Oryzias latipes: one gene and its partner. The protein of the gene in region 1 purifies or fractionates together with the protein of each later gene. This does not show direct contact. Links are inferred from orthologs where the notes say so. Each region holds a gene or a part of one and is shown in the gene's direction. Other genes may lie near its edges.

Region 1 (2,830 bases):
TTAAGCTTTGCCCTCAGATATTCCTTCAATCTTTAATTACACAGTTATGGTTGAGCACCAATCCCAAAAGGTCATAGTTCATGATCATTTCTGACTGTCAGCTTGGCCTCCATAAATTCAAATTACAAACTAACAACAAAATACTCAACGGGACAGAACAGCGCGGATCTGCTCCTCCGTCTTCCCGAACCAGAGATTTTCTGAAAACCTTCTTTTTTTCCTTCTGCTCAGCTGATCTGGAGAAGATGAGCAGCCTGGAGAGAATCTCTTTCCTTCAGGAGAAACTCCAAGACATCAGGAACCACTACCTGTCCCTGAAGTCTGAGGTGGCCTCCATTGACAGAAGACGAAAACGCATGAAGAAGAAGGAGCGGGAAAGTGAGATCATCGCTTCCAGCTTTCATGAATCTGCCTCCAACAAATGAGCAAAGAGCTCAGTAAAATCCCTTTGTTTTTTCCTCTGCAGGTACTGTGGCTGCTTGTTCTTCCTCCTCCTCCTCCTCTTCATCACCGTCCTCTAGCTCCTTAACAGCGGCCGTCATGCTGACACTTGCCGACCCCCCGGTTCCATCCTCATCCTCCTCGTCTCAGAACTCTGGGTTGTCAGTGGAGTGCAGGTGACAGAACCGAGCAGCAATGAGCCATCGCACTGAGCACTTAACCAGCATCCTGGGCTCGCCGCCGCCGCCGCCGCTCCGTCCCAACAGGACGGATGGGTCAACCTGTAAACTCTAACCGCTGGGGCACCAAACCCGACCAGTCACCACAACGAGAAACAAGCACTATTTTCTACTGACAACTGTTTCATGGCAAGCTATCAGCACTTAAGTGCACTTTTCTGACGGTTGTGTAAGGAGATGAAATTTGTCAAAAGTTACTGGTTTTACATTCGTTCCCGGAAACATTTCGAGGGTTGTTTTTGCAAGCAATAATCTTTTCCGTTTGCTAAACCCGTTTGAGGAAAATGTTCAGCCCTAAAAGCAAACAGGGCTTCTCGTGTTGCTGTTGAGGGGCTTCTAAGGACCACTGCCCCATTGGCTTTAAGGGGCAAACCATCATTTTGCCATGTTTCTTCCCCCACCCTCATTGAAAACAGTGAAAAAAGGCTTTTGTGAGCTCAACGTCAGCAGTACAGACTCGTGGTCCGGCGGCGATGGCTCTGATAGCATCATGAGCATGAATGATACTGTAGTGCCTTTTTGAACTTCTCCTGGGGGCACTTTGAGAAAAAGAGAAGCACTTTTTCCTGATCCTCGTCAGGTCAGGGGGTCAGCTGGAACCATTTGTCTCTTTTCTAAAAAGACTGAAGAATGCAGTGAGCAAAGGGACGACGGACGGTAAAAATGTAAGAACTACGAGAGGATTTTCACCTGTAATTTACTACTGAATGATGGATGGAAATGTGCAATGAGAGAACATCACTTCGGTTCATGAGCCTTTTAAAACCCTCCATCATTTTATGTTGTCACCGGTATGAATTTAGCCTAATCACCGCTGACCAACTAAAGAAAGCTACGTTTGGAGCCTTTAAAGAAATCTTTTTAAACCACTGAAGCAACTTCTACTCATCATCCAAAAGCTCCTCATCATTTTCATCTCCACAAAAAAAAGGTTTTGTTTTTATTTCCATACATGATCATAGTTAAGGTAGAGATCTTGTAAATGTGCATTTCTATGCTAAGGTGAAGTACGTGTAAAACTTTCTCCAGTGTTTGTACATAAACCCCCCAGCTGTGTGTTAACCTAAAGTTACGTTTCGGTTTCAAACTTGTACCTAGATGTATGCTTTTGTTATACATTTGTATATTGAGAAGTGTTTTGAGTCGAGCTATTTAATATCTTGCACTGTTAATAACATGTACTTTTCTGTACAGACAGTTTTATGGTTTTAACTATAGCTTAAGTGTAAATAATCAGGGTTGCAGCATGTTTGTTTCCTCTTGTTTCCTCCACCATCTCTTTGTTTTTCTATCCCCCTCCCCTTTTTATTTTTTAAATTTCTCATTTCCTTTAGATTGCTTCTTCATTTTTATTTTATTTTTATGTTTTTTTTAGATAGAGCTTCTTAGAGAGGAATGGTGGTTCTAGATGCGGCTGGACTCTTTCAACCCTTGGTGGCCTGAAGCTATTGCTGTATGAAACAGTATGTGGAAAATGGTCAGCATCATAGGCTAAGAGTGAGTAATGGAGCCAATTGGATTATTGCTCCATAAGTATTTATTAGGCACATCTGATAATAATGGTCATTGTGTAATTTATTGTAAAAATGTAAGCAAAGCAGAAGCCTCCATTTAAAATAAATGCCATAGTTTGTGAATGAGTCTGTTCCTTTTAACCTTTATTTAAGGGGAAAAATGAATTTATACTGCATTAACCTACTGTTCTGTTCTATGATGTAACCTTTAAACTTAATAATTCACTTTCTGTGAAATAGATTTAGTAGATTTTTATCTAAGGTTTTCGAGTGCAGGAGTATAATTTTCCCTTTATTTTGAAAAGATGTGTCTTCACTTAACTATTCATTTTTCCTTGTTTTATAATATTTTTAAAATTCAGTTAAGTCAATTAGGTCTTTTTGAAAAGATGTTAACTGAATAAAACTCTTGTCATACTTAAGAATTATTTTAAAAAAAAATAGTAATACGTTTTTTTCTGTTTATATTTGCTGTAGTGTAGCGCCTAAAACCTTTATTAATAATTCAACATTTATTTAAAAAGATATATTGTGTCTATATATTTTAGTGCAAAAATGAAATATTCTTAAAATAAAAAGCTTAAAATACTTAAAAATCTCGGCGGAAGTTGGCGCCTTTGTGTAGGTGACGTACTT
Region 2 (3,976 bases), on another chromosome or scaffold:
TCCCCCAACGCCACACGGGAACCGGCAGGGAACAACCGCCGCCCGGGCGACCAAGCCCGCCACCCAGGCCAGGGCCAGCAGGGCCGCCGCAAGGCCCCCAGAGCCAGAGGCCAGGGAAGCACGGAGGGAAAGAGAGCGCCGCCCCAGCCCAACCAGGAGAGCATCCTGGTTGGGCTGGGCATGAATCCTTCTTCAGACTAAATTGGAACATTGTAAATTATAGACAGACAGACAGACAAAAAAGGTTTGAGATATAAAACAATGTTGTTGTTTTTTTAATTTGTCAGGTTTAAAAGACATTACAGAGCAGAAAAAAAATATTCAAACAAAAAATGTGATTATGGGGATTATTTAAATGAGTGCAAGGATGCAGATTTGCTTTGATGTGACATTTTTTATTTCAGTGAAACGCCACTGTTGTTTATCCAGAAAGACAGTTCTTCTTGAGTCACATTTGTCCTAAAGTTCTGTGGATAATCCAAATGTTCCTGTTGCTCACAGTGTGATTCTCCTTGAACTCTCCTATGGATCCATGTTTGTCCAAAAGTCTCTGTCTGGCCGTTAAATCATGGGTTCTAACCTGAACTGAGTCAATCGAGGGTCTGATCTTCTTTCCATCTTCTTATTCTGCTTCTTTTATGATTTTCTGTATGATTCTTCATCCAAACTGGTCACTTCTGGGAAATTGATAATGGCTCTTTCTAGGGAACTTAGGAGTATTAAATTATATCTTTATCCATTAAATTTATAACTGGGAGTATCACATAACTGTGCTAATTGGACCTGATGTGTCTGGAGACAAGTAGATGTTTGGCAATAAAAAAGTGGTTTATTATAAAATTAATTTGAAGAATTATGTGTGGAGACTTAAGGCTCATGTGTTTTTGCTTATTTTATTAAATAATTAACTAATTTTTATTAAAATTAGCCATAACCACAGCTTATAGATTTACAAAAAGACTTTAAGGTTCTCTTGTCCTTTTTTATTTCTTCATGCAGCAAAAAAGACAGTTGTCTCTTGAAAGCCTATGGAGTCCATCATCCTGTGGTATTCACACTATAACCAGATTTTTCCAGGTTCATCAGTTTACTCCCAATGTCAGATAACGGCTACCAAATTACCCAATTAACATGATCAATTGAATAATTTCATAACCCAGAACACACAAACCCCACACAAAAAGAAGTAAATAAATAAACGGCCATTGACAGCACCAAATACTGTATCGAATCTCTTGCAATTGCCTGTTTTTTCCTTTTTTTCCATTGCAGATACAAAATTAAAGCGGATGTGTTTATTCTCCAAGGTGAATAAAACTAATTATATGTTCGTCCTTCTAGTTAAATAAAATACAATAAAGTATATTTTGTGCAATTTTTAAACGGAATACTCGTCAGGCACAAGCTTGGACAGCTTAGCGCTTGGGGGTCCTCGCAGTTGTAGGCGCAGTTTCAAGCGAGCAGCAAAACACCGAGCGATTGTTTATTTTGTTTTGTTTACATCCTCCAAATAAATAAATGGCGTCCACTTTAATATCGCCCGTGGTGGATTATTACAACGACGAGGAGGAGCTCGACAGCGTGGATGACGACGATGATCGGAGCTTCAGGGGCAGAGACTCCGAAGAAGGTAACGTTAAATCAGTAGAACCTTTCTCTGTGGTTCGCGGGCTCCGTCTATTTATTGGAGAAGAAACGGAAATGCGCGGCCATTGCACATGTTTCGCTTGTTGTTCGTTGAAACAGCACCTACAGTTAAGTTAAGTTTGGGATTTGAAAATATATATTTTGGGTAAACATGTGAGGTTTGATTATTGAGCGTGAAAGTGGTAGAGTTTGTACTGCCTAGGCTTAGCTTCAAGCTAACATTTGGTTCCCGAATTGTTTTTTTTAAACAAAGGAAGGAAAACAAATAAAAATAATTGAGTAAAGTGACTTTATTAAAACAAATATATCAAATAATTAGCCACTAATAAATAATTAGAATGAGTCCCTTTTCTATCGCTATTTCCTAAAGGGTTGCCTTTTGTGGTGCATGAATGTTTATGCTCAAATGTCACATTTCTGCTCGAAAAAATTGGAATCGTCTAATAAAAGGGTTTAAGTGAGTGATTTGCAGAGTAAGTCACAGGAGTACCTCCCTCCCCTGCAGTTAGTTACCGCAGGATTTCAGTGCAATTCCCCGCAGCGTCCGTCCGCAGCGTTAATCAGCCGCCCTCCTACGTAACTTTAGCTCTGAGCGTTGACAGGTCGGCCTGCCTGCCGTGTCCACCGTTCTGCCCTTTCACACTCCGGTCAGGCGATCGCAGCGGAACCCGGCGCATCGAGGCGATGACAGCCCTGCCAGGTCTGCTTGTTTGGTGCTCCTGACCTCCAGAAGAACTGCGTAGCGTAGCTTTTATCTCCCCTTCTCTCCGCGCGCGCGCGTGTGTGCTGACGGTCCCGATCGCTCCGATCTCCTTGGAACAACTGTTGGAGCTAACTTTAGCTAGCCCTCAAAGCTAACTGAAACCGAAAGCGCTGCGTCAGCTTACGTGGGCCTCTCTGTCCGTGTCTTTTTCCCACGGGTTCACGAAGAAAACGGCACGTTTGTGAAGTCGATCGCGTCATCGTTGTGCTTCTGGGGGGGTAGAAACGTCCCGGCATCGCTCCGAGGGGGGTAGCCGCTGCTGGACCTGACAGACAGACAGCGGGAGCGCGGAGGATCAAAGCCCAGCAGCATGCGGCAAATGTTTGACTTTCACGCGGACATCTGCACCGTCATTCCTCCGCCTCGAACTTTAACTTTGTCCCTTTTGAGTTGAACTGACGTGAGGCTTAAAAACAAACGTGGATCTGACCTGGGGGGCATTCAGTATGACCTCACCGGAGCCCCCCAGGCTGGTCTGCAATAAGACCTGTGCTGTCTGTCTGTCTGTCTTTCCTTCCGGGGAGGGAGCCGCTGACATGATCAGATGGGTTTAAGTGAGTTCAAACTTCAACTCAGTCTCTTTGTCCCCCCCCCCCCCCCCCCCCCCCTCAAAGACACAGAAGATGCCAGTGAGACGGACCTGGCCAAGCATGACGAAGATGACTATGTGGAAATCAAAGAGCAGTAAGGGATTTGTGTCTTTGTGTGTACTAGTGTGTGTGTGCGTGGCCTGAGCCGAACCCTTATTTGTGGTTTTGTTTTCCTGACAGAATGTACCAAGACAAGCTGGCCTCGCTGAAGAGACAGCTGCAACAGTTACAAGAAGGTAAAGATGCAGGCCTGCACAGAACGCCATCATTTCAGAGTGCGTCATTAAAACCAAAGTATGTCTGAAGGGGTTTGTTTGTGGTAGGAAAGGTCTGCATGTTTTCCCAGATATCATTGCTCTACTGGTTACCTGGATCACCAGGTGTGTCTAGGATGTGCTGGAGAACAAATCCAGCCCTCAGGTGCCCCCCCTGGTTTTAGATCTGGCTTTTTTCTTAAAGCAAAGATGTGGGTGTAAACCAGAGATCTCCAACCTTTTTCAGGCCACAGATCGGTTTAAAATCAAACGGTATTTTCACGGACGGGGCTGAAGTGGGCCTCTGAGTTCTTTTATTGTTTTTTGCCTCCTGCTTTCTTTAGGTTTTGAGGGTAATGTTCATCTTCATCCTCTGTAAAATATCTGCTTTAAACTTAATTTGAACACTAGATTTCATGTAGGAACGATTAAAATGTGATCTAGAGTTTCCCTGAACCCACAGCCATCAAGGAGGAAGCTTAAAAACTCTGAACTCTTTAAACATTATTAAAAAAAACACTAATCCACTGTTTGAGTAAGTTTATTAGCAGCATCCTCATAACTTGCTGAATATTATTCATTATTATTATGGTCCATATTTGGATTTAAGACTGTTTTTTTCTGATAAATGCAGCTGTCCTTTATTTTGAAGTCCTCTTTTGTTTCTTCTCCGACTCTTTTCTCCCAAAAGAAACTATGAGTATGTTTGTTTTTGTCAACTT

Evidence for each region. The genes of interacting proteins can lie anywhere in the genome.
Region 2: the proteins of arid4b (region 1) and suds3 purify together in Homo sapiens (affinity purification with western blotting; 3 studies listed by BioGRID, with this or other methods). This does not show direct contact. The link is inferred for Oryzias latipes from reciprocal best matches to the Homo sapiens genes ARID4B and SUDS3.

The regions. Positions count from the first base shown.
Region 1 is NC_019873.2:28,207,878-28,210,707, reverse strand, and holds the end of arid4b (AT-rich interactive domain-containing protein 4B), read left to right. Parts: intron 1-231; coding exon 232-378; intron 379-466; coding exon 467-621; 3' UTR 622-2,317; downstream 2,318-2,830. UniProt on the Homo sapiens protein: Acts as a transcriptional repressor. May function in the assembly and/or enzymatic activity of the Sin3A corepressor complex or in mediating interactions between the complex and other regulatory complexes.
Region 2 is NC_019867.2:3,527,259-3,531,234, forward strand, and holds the start of suds3 (sin3 histone deacetylase corepressor complex component SDS3), read left to right. Parts: upstream 1-1,164; 5' UTR 1,165-1,518; coding exon 1,519-1,630; intron 1,631-2,234; exon of another isoform or gene 2,235-2,331; coding exon of another isoform or gene 2,332-2,347; intron 2,348-3,024; coding exon 3,025-3,094; intron 3,095-3,180; coding exon 3,181-3,236; intron 3,237-3,976.